Drosophila melanogaster: one gene and its partner. Changing the gene in region 2 together with the main gene of any one other region gives a genetic interaction. Each region holds a gene or a part of one and is shown on either strand. Other genes may lie near its edges.

Evidence for each region. Genes that interact genetically often act in the same process or in processes that back each other up.
Region 1: of bnl (region 2) and ptc, changing one suppresses a phenotype caused by changing the other (phenotypic suppression), as found in Drosophila melanogaster (one study listed by BioGRID).

What each region holds. Positions count from the first base shown.
Region 1 is NT_033778.4:8,648,086-8,654,614, reverse strand, and holds the start of ptc (patched), read right to left. Parts: upstream 4,967-6,529; 5' UTR 4,194-4,966; coding exon 4,065-4,193; intron 3,919-4,064; exon of another isoform or gene 3,562-3,918; intron 3,365-3,561; exon of another isoform or gene 3,119-3,364; intron 1-3,118. UniProt on the Drosophila melanogaster protein: Segmentation polarity protein. Acts as a receptor for the hedgehog protein (hh). Associates with the smoothened protein (SMO) to transduce the hedgehog signal leading to the activation of wingless, decapentaplegic and patched itself.
Region 2 is NT_033777.3:19,831,955-19,840,593, forward strand, and holds the start of bnl (branchless), read right to left. Parts: upstream 4,864-8,639; 5' UTR 4,308-4,863; intron 1-4,307.

The DNA of each region.
Region 1 (6,529 bases), on a different chromosome or scaffold from region 2:
AATATTTCATAAGTATTTAATTGTATGGTTCTGGACTGTATTTTATTTGTGTGGGGCTATTGCTATCTGAACTCCCTCTTCGCCACTTGAAAATATCAAATAACAAATATTGATCGCGAGTGTGACAATGATTTATTTGCCTTACACCTACCGCGCTCGAGATCTTATCAAGCAGATAACGATCTGGAAATTATAATATTTGACTTACGGTCTGAAAGTCAATAGGCCGCGTTATCTGGCTGAGGTTGGGGCTTTGATTAAATATTTAATTTACCTGCAGAGTTGATTTAGACAGAAAGCGTCTGACTTTTACAGACGACCATTTTTGTCAAAATGTTTCGTAGCTCGAAAGAGATGTTATTCTATTATCAGATTCGACTCTAAATTGACTCTAAAGGCTTAAGGATAAAGGTATAATTTTCAATCTGCAAAGGAATATGCAATTTTCGTGTTTTCTCCAATAATTATGATGCTCCTGTTGATAGTCAATTTCAAAGTTTGTACCGATAGGCTACTGGTTTTTGTTTTTGAAAATGTTTCTCCTTCCTCTTGGCTATGTCAATTTGATAAATGTTTGCCCCTTGTCTGCGTGGATGCCACAAATATTTGTGTTTGTGTTTGTTTTTCGTGAGCAGTTGTGAAAAAAGCGAAACGGACACGGGATCGCCGGGCATCTCCCGGCATGACTAAACAAATTTATAGCCCACTGGGAGCGCAGACTTCTTCAAAATGCCGCCAATGTTGCTCAACTTCCTGTGCAAAGTGTGTGCGTTTTGGTGTGAGTGTGTTTGCCTTACAATTGGCACAGCAAACGGGGAAGACATCGTGGTGGTGTGGAACGAAGATGGGGAAGGGGTTACGGGGCAGACAAGCGATTTCATTCATGAATTCATATGTATCTTATAGATACAACGAGCTCTGTCGCGAGTACATGGGCTGCATCGATAGTGCGGCATTGCCATAAATGAGATTTCAGCCTGTGCGATTTCAGTCGTCGGGCTTAGGGCAAATAATAAATAAATATCGGCGGACAGTCGGATGCAGCTATGAGATACTCTAAGTCAAAACAAAAAGTCGAATGATTTGCGGTGCACACATGCAAACACGTCTCAGCAAGTAAAAATAGATGAAAGTGTTTTCTTTGGAAATGCATTTTATTTCTGGAGGAATTCCGTAAACAAAATCCCAAAATACGTTAAATTCCATATGTATATAGAATAATAATATTTAACTGTAAAAATCATTTTCTATAGCTTAACAAAATCTAGAAGATTTGACAATCATGGGGAAGTACACGTTGGGCGCCATATGTTTACCATGTAAGTATGAGGCTAATACGTAAAGTTAAGTTGCTTTTGCTACTCTTCATCAGCAAACAAGCTTAATCACCCATTCGATATACCCTCAAGTAGATCTCATTGGTTGACTAAGTAATTCTCAGCTTCATTTGGTATGCATATCATGAATGAAAACGTCATCCTTTTGAAGACAACGTAGACCTCCCAGCAGCAGAAATGAAATTTTTTCCAGAGAAGTAAATAAACAAAAGCAATAATAATAATAATCGCGTTCGGTAATTTGCATACTCGCCAAAAAAGAGAAGCAAACGCACTGCGAGCCCTCGCCAGCTTCGTTAGACGATTTTAATGTCTTAATATATTTCGTTAAATTGAGTCATTAAAATAAATCGCCATCGACGATGATGATGACGACGACGACGACCACAAAAGACGCTGACGATGTCGGCGCCATCACGATCGATCGTTTGCCACAACTTTCCAGTGGAGTTCAGGATGGGGCAGAGTCAAAAGCACGTTACAACCGAGCCCCGAGAGACTTTACGAGAAATAATTGAGATGCACACACACACACACACACACACACTCACACTAAAGCGGAGAGGCAAAAACAAGAGGAAAACCAACTCGATGGGGAAACGAGATGGGGCGGGGGAATGAGGGGGAACAACAACAGAGCAAGACACGCCACGCGGTCGCCAAGGAACTGCAACTGCAACAATGATGAAGACATCAAGCTGTAAAAAGCATCAGCGAAGCAGCGAGAAAACTTGAGGCGGTCCACACAGAAAAACTGAGTTTTCCTCAAAATGTTTACTGCACTTCCATCTTTGAAATATGTTACTAACCCTAAGGATAAACTATCGTAAAGTTCGCAAGTTTAACTAGGAAATCAATTCTGTCTGGAAATCAATTCTTACTTTTGCCATGTAAGCGTTATTATTTGTAAACGGTTGTTTCTTTTTCAGTGTAGCACAGTTTGGAAGTCACTGCGCGAGCAGAGTCAGCAACAACAAAGCGCGTGCGTCAGTAAAATTTTTTCCTTGGCTCTTTTCTTTTTTTCCGCTTTTTGGGCCACCCGCATTCAATGGCCCGATCCCAACCCGAAAAACGATCACTGGCTGCTTCATTTGCATGGGTGGGAATAACAGCAGCAAACTGAAATGCTTTTGGCAACGAAAATGGATATAAGACTGCATGCTGCTCTTTTTAGAGTTCACAACTATATTGGAAATATTACCTTCTGAACTATACCTTCAAGATCAATAAAAAAAAATCTATATAAATAGTAATGAAAATATGTGCGCCCTTCATTTATTGACATTTAATTAGACTAAACGCTTGCTAATCAATCTCATAGTGCAGAGCCAAAAAGCAAATTGTTTCGAAATTATATAGATTACTCATTACGTCACGCATGCTTCTAATCAATCTGCGAAGAATTCCCAACCGAAGTCGCCCCACAACTCGTATCACAGAGCATCTGAGGAGCGTTGACTGGGGCGGTGGGGCATTGGGGCGATGGAGGGGTGGGGCGGCTCCGAAAAGAGCGGCTGGAAGGGGGTGGCCAATGGCAGTCCAGCCAGCAGCATCACGTACGAAATGACTCTCGCGGAGACCTCGGCGCCCACCCATGTTGGAAGGCAACACACAACCACACACACAGATACGAACCCACACCAGCAGAATGCTGGGCAAGTTGTTGCTGGCGTTGTTTATTATTTTTGCTGCGGCTGCCAAAGCTTTCTGCTTTTTGCCTTTTCGGCTGCTTTCGACTGCTGGACGGAACTCCTGCTGCTGCTGCTGCCCAGTTTTTGCCTAGCTGTTTTTGGCGCTCGCCGCAGTTGCAGTTGCAGTTGTTATTGTTCGGTTTGCGGTTTCGGACCAGCCGCGCACAGTAGCGCCAAAGTAATGAAGTTGTCTGTGGATATGTCCGTCTGGAGTTGGATCGGTCGGTTTGGGATCGGCGAAACGAGTACGAAAGTCCTGCTGTGTGTCTACGTCTGCGCAGCGAAAATAGATGTGGATTGATGGCGGTGCACAGAGAATAAATACTAACAAGATTGGTAAAACATCCAATTTGTTGTAGTTTTAGACTGCAGCGAAAGGGTTATTCCGTCTACTTTTACGGCGAATAGTTTCATAAACAAATGTCTATATTTGGAGGTAAATCCTCCACGCTTTTTATGTCCAGAGAACGAAATAGCAAAATTAGCATATAAGCCGATTGGCGTGGATTTCAACTAATCACTGTAATTAATAGGCTGCCTGGCAAGCGAACATCAGACAACTATATTAACCAGGGAATCGAACGAAAGAAAACGAAACGAATGAAATGAAATCGAAACGACCGGCGAAGAAGACATCGGCGACGAAAAAAACGCGAAAAATATTGCGAGAGATATTGGCAATAAAATTTATTGAAATCTGTCCCGGCGACTTAATGGCCGCATTAAACAAAAGCCGCTGCTCTTCGGATTTACAGTCGAACTTCTACATCATGGTTTTTAGTTAAGTGTCTCAATATTCTAATGACAAGAATTGTACAATATAACAATTTCAAATTTTAAAAAGATTGTAAATTTACTTAATACTTCAAATCTTTTGCTTAATTTAAAGTAAAAGGGATTACTAACAAAAGTTTCGAAAGAGCCAGATTTTCCATTTAAACTTATAAAGGATCCTCCGAATACGATTCAAGAATATTATTGAATTCAACACATGGCTATCCTTCACAGTGAAAGTTCACTGTAGTTGGGCACTCACCTTATCTATCTGATCGAGCGCCACTTGGGCGTCCACCCAGCTGGTGCGTATGTAAAGATCCGAGAATAATTTCTCATCGACCACATCGCCGTGTGTGTCCGGAACGCGTGGGAGGCTGTCGCGGTCCATTATGGTTATGTTTATAGCCAGATTCCGGACGGAATCGCGTGGCGGAGATGTGCAGATGGGAGTGTGCTGCGGAATCGGTCTTTCTACAGTGCCTGCCGTTCGTCTGCGTCCTGAGAACTGAGACTTGGGAGACAGTGTGCGGATTGTTCGTGGACTTTCGGTTCGATTAATTGTTATTGGAATCTCGTATTTTGTTTGGCTGCATTTTGCACTGCATTCCGCATTTTTATTTTTAATTATTTTGTATTTTAAATCAAGAGACGCTCTCTCCCGCGCTCTCTCGCTCACTCACTGAGCACGCTGTGTATCTGAGCTCTCGTTGTGTTGTTTTGTTGTGATTGCTGGCTTCGCTTTTGCTGGGTTTTTTCGACGATTAAAACGCGGTTTTCGGGTTTTATCTTGGGCACAATTTCTCAGGGGAATTTGACAGAATTTTCACAGATCTTTTACACATGGAAAAGCGGCAGTCGGACGACTCACGTATTCGGTTTTCTCTCTCGCCTTTCGCTCTTTTACCTTTACTTTACTTTGCACTTGGCGACGCACACACACAAACACTGGCTGGTTGGCTGGCTTTTGTTGTTGCCTGGCATTTAATCCATGAACTTCGCCTCGCATCCGTGAGGTACAATATCTTAGCTTTTCCACGAGTTCTGTGATATCTATCTTGTTAGTATACCACACACAGAGAGTGCCAGTAGTCGGAAATACGAATAACAAGTCGTCGCGCTCCGCACTTACAACCGTTTCGTTCGAGGATCGCACGCAGTCTGAGAGATGTATCTGTATCTCGTGGATGCGGCACGCCAGCCAGGCCAACAACTTCATTAGGCGAGCGCGCGCCGCTGTTTCTCTCTCTCACTCTCTCTTGCCCAGCGGGCGTCTGTGTGCACTGTTTTGCGCCTGTGTGCGTGGGCGACACTCAACACACAACACAGACGCTCTCCCTACTCTCACTCGCTCTCTTGTTTCGTGTGCGGCCATTTTGGTTTGAGAACGCTCTCTGCGAGGGCTGCTTTAACGATAGCTCAACGCACAAAATACCGAGGGGTGATTCAGGAGTTTTTCCGAGAAAATACCAAGTTTGTTATATAAAATTTATGAATGCTTGTTGCAAAATAAAGAATAACTACCAATGTAAATACATATGTTAACAGAAATTAAGAAATAAAATATATATCTATTACTGTTTAAATATCCTTTGTAAATATTTAAGTGATAATAATAATGATAATGTAATTGTTGAGCATACGGACTTAATGCTTGGAACTCATTGTTTACATTTATACTTTTTATAAACAAATAAAATATGTAGCTCTAATATACCCAAATAGCTCCGCCACGAGAGCGCTAATTTCTATTGTTATTCGCATGCCGTAATTTGTTTTTTTTTTGCATGGACCACCCAAAGTGCCTTGGCTGCTGGTTTGTTGTTGCCACTGTAGTTTATTTTCGCTGCAGTGTGGACCACCCAAAAATAAATTTGTTTCTGCCTTCATTAAACTGAAACCGCCAAGCGATGTGGGTGGTCCCCTACCCAAACGTTCAGCTCTGCCGATGTCGGCCTTCAGCGTCGGCAGCGCTGCCCAATGGAGCTTTCGTCTCAGTGTGTGTGTGTGTATTTGTTTGGGGGAAGCGCGTGCGTGGCAGGCTGCGCATGCATGTGTGTGTGTGTAGCCGTGCCGCGAACTGTTGGCAAATTTGTTAGCTTTACATTGCTCGTGTTGTTGGTTTTATGGCTGTTGCTGCTGCCCCATGCGATGATGTCTGTTTTTGCATGTTCCGATGCTAAATTATGAGCGGCAGGATGTTTCTGCTTTTCCCTTTCCATTGTTTTTGCAGCCTCTTTGCCCCATGAATCTCAAATATGCGAGGGGTTATGAGTGTGCGAGGACCACACAAGTAGGTTTGTTTTTGCCGGCAAATTAAAACACAGAACAAATTATATGTTTATTAGACGTAGTCTTTAAATATTTACTCTAAAATCGACTTATAAAAGAATTTTTTTTTTTTATTTAAAAAAAAAAAATAGACTAAACAAGTTTTTTTTTAATTTCTGAATAATAATATACCAATGGAATAAACTCATTTTCATGCGACAACCGCAAACCGATCTTTTTTGTGCACCACGAACTTAAGCCAAATGACATGTTATCTTTAAAACTTCTTTGGATTTATGAATGGAAATGCATTTGCTTCTGGTGTTTCTCCGCATTCCACATTTTCCCTTTCCAATTGAGGCAACAACAACGAAGTAAACAAATAAGAACTCTTCGAAAAAATTGGCGCTCGAATCATCAGCACCATGGAAATTCAAATTGAATGCAACTGCATAG
Region 2 (8,639 bases):
TTAGAAGTGAAGGTTTCCTGTTTTTAATTATATTTATTCGTATTTTGGCAATTTATATATATTTATTTTTATTTGTGTCCCCTTCAGATTTATTTGTTTGTTTTCAGAAGCAAAGCTAATTCCTGATATTTATTGCGCGAATCCATTACCCAGAAAACTCTTTAGTAAATGTCGTATCTCATTCTTCTTGCGGTTGGCAGTAAAAAACAGTGCCAAAACCACAAATTCCCAGACTCTTCACTTACATGTGCAATTTATTCATGGCTTGTGGTTATGTTTTTTGCCCAACTTTAGTTTGGGCAATAAAATAAATTAGGCCCACAAGTAGACAAAACAATGTTGTGCACTGCAACACATTAAGTTAATTATTTTGCCTACTATTAAAAAAAGTATTTCAATGCCACGTTGAAAGCGAAAAGAATTTAACAAATGTGCAAAGATATATGGGCCTAACAATGAAATTCTAGTTCAAGAGAAGATAAATTTGTATTTATTTTCCCCGTTAAGTGTCTGACGTTCATTGTCGTGTTGACACTTGTCACAAGATTGAACGAGAATAAATATACATATAGTACTTGTTTCCATACGTATGTACATTCGTGCATTAGTTTGTATTATGGAATGTTTAGCGAAAGATTGATGTGCGATGGCATTCCCTGACAACTGCCTTATAGATGGTATCCATCAGAATGCAAACAAGGCGATGCATTTCGATGAAGATTATTGTCGCTGATCTGGTTCTCTTGGGATCCCATACCCCCGCCCAACGATCCAACTCCCGTGTTTACAAAACAATTAGTTTTCTTTGGAAAAACAAGAAAAGCGTCGAACGGGGGAAATGAAAAAGATACCGAAACATAACTCAGGCAGCCAGCCAAATGCACTAATCGATGTGCACTTCATTCGTATGGAAACGGGCATAAGATACTTGAAGGCATCACTGTTAGATACTTGCCAACAATCCGCGGGGAAAGCACTGCCGCCAGGGAAAAGTAGAAAAGAAAAGTACGGTGAAAAACCTGAGCGCTCAAAGGCAGCGCTTTTGTGTAATCGATTTGAACCGGAAGCAATTGGGTTGCCGCAGTCTCAGCGGCAGCGGGAAAAATCCTCTCAAGATGCAGCTATTTTAAATATTTAGTGCACGAGACAGGCGAGGGCACAATCACAGATACACGCACACACGACGCACAGCAATTCGATTCAATCACATGCGGCGATGCTAACAACAAAGCAAATATCGGTCGCCAGATATATTGACACCATATAGAAAGGAAAATAAAATGAGAAAGTTACTTCTAGAGATAGTCTACATATAATAATTAGTTCCCTAAAAAGTTCAAAATGAAAAACTTGTTAACAAATCATTTTTCATTTGTTAAAATTATTTGCTTAAATATTAGTTTATAAATATTCTTTCTGAAAACAGGAAGTACCCTAGGACTTTAAGTCGGTTTCTGTCACCTTCACCATGTATCTCACCTAAAATGTATCTCTTGCCTTCACCAACACACTGCCCACTGGCAGACTCATCTCCCACACAATTTCGCACATTTATTGTAGTCTAATTAAAAGTCACGCACTTTACGTGCGAAAATTAAAAGGAAAACCGTCGTTTTAAAATAAAACCAACCGAAAACGACGAAATCAAAGACAACGCGACGTATTAGTAATGTGACAAACAGACAGCCAACAAAACAACAATTGCGTCTAGGATATTTTTAAAATGCGTCAAACAACCAAAAAAAAAATATATATATATGTGTAAAAAAAGAAGGAAAACCGTCAAAAAAAAAAGAGAAACAACAAGAATAACAACAACCTGAGTAAAATACGCGACGATTTTCTCGTTTTCATTTTGCCTTTTTGTTGCTCGCTTTTTAACTGAGCGGTGTACCTAAAGCTGTTGCCATGTGCGATCGTGTGTGTGCGTCTCTAAATGTATGCCGCACATTATGTGGTCTAGTGTTCACGCTTAATTAAAACAAACGCTACATTTTTACTGAGTTTCCCGCATTTTCCGCCTTCTTTCGCCGACTTCGGTTGACTTTATATTCCGAGTGTTATGCGCCACTTTTGGGCAAAAAGAAAAACAAACCGCAAAACTATTTACGCACGGCCATAAAACTTTTTTCTTTTGCATGCGATAAGCTTTATCTATCTACGAATTATGATCGTTGTATTTCAAACTTTGGCTCCACTGGGCTTGCTGCCCCATCAATCAGGCACAATTTGTAAATGTGTCACAGGCCCAAGCGAAAAGTTACCCAACTCGTGCGTTTCAGAACTAAACCTGATAATTGGCTGGCTTTATGACATCTGAAGTCCGAAGGCATGCACGACAGTCTCCGGGGAAATATAAATTCCACGCGCAACTCTTTTACTACCAAAATATAAATTTACTTTTCAATTAATTCGGGACTGCCCATGCAATTTAATCACTTCAATTGGTTTTTCTGCATAAACTGATGTCTTAATGTCTAAATTTACGGTGGTCTTTTCAATTATTCAATCGTTGACGTAGCCAGAAACCGTTTCGTAAGCGGTACTAAACAATTAGCCAATTATTTTCTTTGCCCTTGGGGGATATTCATTTTTTAGTTGATGAAATTGTGACGTGAGAACTTTAACGGCAAAGGAAATAAAATTTGATCGGCATTTGAAGAGGCACAATTCAATTATGTATAATTAATGTATGAATCTTTATCGCTTATTTTTGGTTATTAATAAGTTATACAATTAGAATTAGAAGATAAGATTTATTATGGCTTATGTAAGTTAGCAAAAAAGATTAACTTGATTATAATACTAACTAATAGCCCTTATTGCTGGAACAATTGTAAACCAATAAAAAAGTTATGAAAGGAAAGTAAAAGGTAATAAACCAAAATTTTAATATTTTCCCTAGACCCCAGATAAGTTTGAAAAATGACCAGAAAAAATCTGAAAATACCAAATAGTTAATAGCTTCTACAAATAATGACCCTGATTTGAGTTAAGCACTCTTCGCTGCCATTAATTTTGAAGGATATCACCCGCTAGTCCACACAGCCGAAATTCATTCAGTTTATTCTTTATCGCGATCCCCATATTTCGCACTTTGTCTGTCGCTCGGCTGTCCAAACTGTGATCCGGCATGTGATTAGCAGTTGTTGAACCCGACGCATACTAGCGTGCGGCAATAACGCAAATTCGCACACAGATACAAAATACAGATACAGATACGCAGCGCAAATCATCCGCAGGAAGAACAAGAACAACAAGCCAGCTTAGATAATAGCGCACAAATGTTAGATAATAGTCAGCGCCGCCAATTTATAGGACAAAAAGTGCACGCGCAGAGTGAGCAGAAAAAAAGTTTATTGCGAAAAAGTTAGCGAAATGAGATTAAAAGCGCCTGCGTGCGTTTGCAAATAGAGATACGCACAATTCGCATATACGCAGATACAGATACATTTCAAGACGGCGATAAAGATTCGCAAATGTATATGCGTTTTGCAAAAAAAAAAACTATAAATAATCCCAAAGATCGTGTGCTTAAATTTATATGAATTTCGCTTTCATAGAGTGGGTTCTCCTAAGGTCGTTTGCTTTCACCGGTTGGCAAAAAAAAACATTTTGCTACATTTTGTTTGCTTTACCAATTGTTTATTTGGGGCAGATAAACGCGGAAAAGTACTTGGAAAAACTAGGCTGCAAATCAAATTTAATTCGCTTATACCTAAATGCAATCAGATTACGTTTTAAGTGAATATCATTCTGCACAGGTATTGATCAATCAAATCAAATATGAACTAAATTATTTCAATTAGCATGCCACTAATATAAATTAAGTTTTTGCCCATTTGCTTTAGCTTGCTATTTGTTTGTTGAAATCAATTTATTTCGTTTTTATACATATTGCTATTTAATTACTTTCCCTCGTGGGTCATTTAAATACACTTATTACTCGGCCCGCTGCCAAGTGGAAAATGTTTTAAATTTATTTTGAAAGTTACCAAACAAATTGCCACATTTCAACGTATTCAAAATATTTTATTTAAATGCCCAACATTGCGCGACCAAAGAACACTGAAACTCTTTATAAATTTTAGTATTTCAAAACATCAAATCTAATAATACAGAAAAACATATATTTTTTCCGTTCGGCAAACTTGAAACTTTCAATAATTTTAGGCTTGCTTTTGCTAAGCTCCAAAGACCGAAATCCAATGAAATATTTTGCAACATTCGAACAAATACTTGGAGGAACAACAAACTTATTAAAAAAAAGAACTTATGTAACAGCGTTGAAACAGAAAATTACGCACCTAGGTTTTATGTTTGTTTGCTTTTTTTTCAGTTTTACGATTCTTTTTTTGGACGCGTTGTATTCTTCGTTGATTTTCAGAGAGTTGCACTTTGCACACTTTAAAACTTACGGCAACAACAATTCAACATTTTCATAATTTTTTTCTTATATTCCTTTTTCAAACACAGCACAAATCATATATATATATTTATTTTTTTATATATTTTCCGATCTTCGAATTGCTCGCATCTAAACGATTTTTTTTTTTTATTGCGGGCTTTTCAAATTGTAACGACTCTCTTGGATTGCGAAACGAACATTCGTGTTTCAAATTTCCTATCCGCCGAGATTATTGTTTCGATCTCCTTTGAAAACGATTGCACACAAAACCGGAACATCGAGTACGTTAAAACGGAGCGATTACGGACGCGATCACGATGATGGGGTTACGATTAGAGATGGTTAGGATGTGCCAGATGGATCGGATCGGATCGAATGGTAGGTCTGAAAAATTCGAAAACGCTGCGGATGCGGATAAGCGGACTTCGAGTGCTACTGCGACTGCGGACGCTCCGCTCACTGTGTGTTCCCCAAGCGTGCTAGTCAGAGACTGAAGCCATGAGCAAAAAGACCCTGTCGATGAGGCGACGCTTCGTGCGTTCACGCCGAGCACGTTTGCGACGGAACGAGCACGAGAGAGAGAGTGCGATGCGGTGCGGTTCGGCGGGAGGGAGACGGAGAGAGTGAGAGCAAGTAGTGGGCGAGTAAGGTAAACGCCAAGAATGGTGGTCGGTGGTCAGCTGTAGTGAATGGTGGTCGGTCGGTTCCCTAGGTGTGATATGGGGTTTATCTGTTATTCCCAATTCATCCTTCCGATCTGACGAAACTGCGGCTCAAGTGATTGAAACGCTGCCAACTCGTTGATTCATCATACATTAGCGTCAGAATCAAAAACACCGTTATAAAAGATTTGTATTTCGTTCGTTGCTAATTTATACTTTGTAGCTGAATAAATTATAAATTTTAATGAGTGGTTAAAAACTACTGTGTTACTAGCTCAACATTGTACTCAAACATTAAATGCAAAATATGAATCAATTTTTTTTTATTTTTTGTGTACTTATTTGTTGTATTTAGAAAATTATTTTTGGATTTTAAGTAAAACAAACAAATTCTGTTAGTGTTTGGGGTGGTTAACTGTAGTCATCTTAATCATTTATGAAGCCTACTTTTTCTTACTCTAAATATCTTAAACGGTTACATGGTAACTATCTAACCGAAAATTCTGAAATTTTTTGGGCCACAATGTAGGCTACAAGGTGTTATCTGTCACTAGAAAAACAACTTTCGAACATAAAGCTCAACTAAAATGTTCTATATATAAAAAAAAAAATATATATATATATATATATAAAATACAGTAGTCTACTAATTTTTGTTAGAGTTCTGTCACTATAATGAGCCCCCTAAGTCGACGGCGACAAATCACGTGACGGTTTTCAAACAGACATTGTGAAAGGGAGAGATTGCAGTTGCTTTTTGTTTTTGATTGGATTGCGTTTGGTGGCGGTTGTGCTTTTTGGCGCGTAGACCTTTTCCAGTGCTTTTGACGTATTTCGCCAGGTAGCGTGGACTTGCACAAATACCAATTAACTAACAACACAAAGTGCAACAACAAGCGTCACCCAGTACCCTTTATTATTCGGCTAAACATTGCCAGTGAATCAGTCGCGTGGGAAAGCCAACTCACGATAGGTGCTAATCGCATCGTTGTATTCGCACTGATAAGGTTTGAACTTTGACCAACTCATTTGCCTGTGGCTGCAATAAACCACAAAACCTATTTCTGACCAACCGAAATTTTTGCTAATTTTAGATGTTGACCAAAATTTAGCCCCAAAAATACTGTCACACGGCAAATTTAAAAGTTAAGGCAGCTATGCGCGAATTTCGTTGAATACAAGTTTATCTTATCTATTTAGAAGGCGCTTATAAAAAATCACATGGTGCAGATACCCATATGTGTGTATGAATGAACTTCAACTTGACACTACAGAAATTGCAGAAATATTCCGGGGTAGTCGCCTACGTCATTCTTGATGACAGCGTCATTCAGTGGGTGGGTGTTGCCGGTGGAAAGTGCGGGCTTGCTACTGATTGGCAAAGTTTTACATTGTCGCTAAGACTATATAACTGCTATAAAGTAGCAGTTTTGAGAAGGCAATGTTGTTTATTAAAGCCATAAAATATTGTTTATCGTGTCATCTATCGTGTTTGGTACTTACAATTTTTTGAAAATATTTGTTAGATTATGTTGTGTAGAAATGATTTATGAAACATATTAAGAATTTTGTGGACTGCGCTTTTGCTTGTTTAGAAATAGTACCTATGTAGATCTGTCCAAATTGTAAATTTTAAACAGTTTGAATTTAGAATATTGAGTTTAAATATATCACTTGAAGCGCGAGTAAAGCCATGCTAAAGTTGCATACTTCGAAATAAGCAAATTTACTTAGACCCTGTGTTTAATTTAGTTTTCAAATGTATTTCTAAATGCTTGCTCGTAAGTGGCCTAAGTGATTTCGCCAGGCCACAGAAAAAGGGTTGCCTCAAAACTCAATTAACTCAATTAACCGGAATGAAAACATTTTGTGCCCGAGAATTTGACGCCTGGTGAAACGCGGGGAAGCACATGCCAAATGTGCCTATTCCAATAAATAACCAACAACAGCGAGAACTCCCCCGCAGTTTTCGAGGGCAACCTTTGGAATGTCGATCTGCCCTTTGCACTTTCCACATTGTCCCTTGGTTTCCCCTTGTCCTTTAGCAAGGAGTCAGACAATTAAAATGATTAATTATGCGCAGAAGCAGCGGCAGCAGCAGCAGCAGGACATTTTCGGGCTAATGACTTAATTAGCCCGCCAGTCGAGTGTTCCAGCCTAATGTGCTCGCCTCAACGACCTCTGACCCTTTTTCCGCGTAAGTCGTCCAAGATGCTAGATTAATTAAAAACCGTGGCCGACCGAAAATGTGGCAAGTGAAGTCCGTTAAGGTGTTTAAATAGCCCGATCTATGGCAGCTGGTTTTGGGTAGCCCCCAACTCTGGAAGGGATCCTCGTAAACCTGACTTCCAGTCTTTTACCTTTTGATCCCATCGCACGCGTTTTCCTGGCGATTAAAAACGCGCCATCATTAAGGCTCAAGGTTGGCGGCTTTTTCTTGTTCACAGATCAAAGAGCGAATCGTTTTAAGATTGTTATCGGTGGGATATTCAATTACAGAATATATATATTGTCATGTCCAGTGTCAACCAACATGATTGGCCTGTTTGGTAGCAAATAATAAGCCAAGTTATTTCGCAGATATGATCGAGTATCAATTGAATCCACACGCAAATCGGCAATCAAAAGCGCGTTGGGCCAATAAAGTAGTTTCGTTGAGAAATTCCGTCACCAAGCATTAACAACCATTAAGCTTCCATTAGTTGTAGGCGACTTACGTACGTACTCGCAACTGAATCGGATCGATCTGAACGCAATAATTTATGTTAATAAAATTGTAATAGCGCCTGTCAGCAAATGGCGACGAACATACTGCCAGCAGCCGACACACAGACTGACAGAAAGTCAATTCAATTCAACTCGAATCGAATCCAATCGAATCGATTCGAATCAATTAAAAACAAATCTCAAACCGATTCTGTCGCCAAAGGCTTGTCTTTTGTCTTTAACCAAGTGACGGGCTTTAAGTCGCCTGCTGATACGAAAACATTTTAACCCCCAGCACTTAAAATTAGTTAAGACATTTAGGTAATTGTAAGGACTATAATAATAATTTTTCTATTTACTCATAAATTTGAAATACAATAATGGCATAGTAAGCTTTCATTTCATTAACCTATATTATATTTTCATCAATTTTAAACTGCTTGAACTAATGAACTGAACAAAATGAAATTTTCAAGTAACTAATTTTGCAAAAAGGAATGTACATGTTCGTTTAATGAATAACTTATAATCTTTCGGTAAGATATTTTATATCTTCCAACGGGTTAAGGCCAATGCAAATTATGATAACTCTGAAATGCTGTCGTCGCCACCCAGTCGATGGGGGTTGGGGTTCGAATCGGATCGGTTCGGATCGAATTGGACCGGAGTATGGATTACGGAACGCCGACCTGAGCGAGAAGTGCCCAGCTGGGTGATCGATTATGGTGGAAGTTGCGGCGGCGGTCGCTAATCACAATAATTGATTTGTAAATATTTTGATTTAGATTGCAATGCTAATTATGATGGCAGCCACTGCCGCTATAAATTATGAGTGCACTATCCGAGTGGGCCTTGACTCTCCA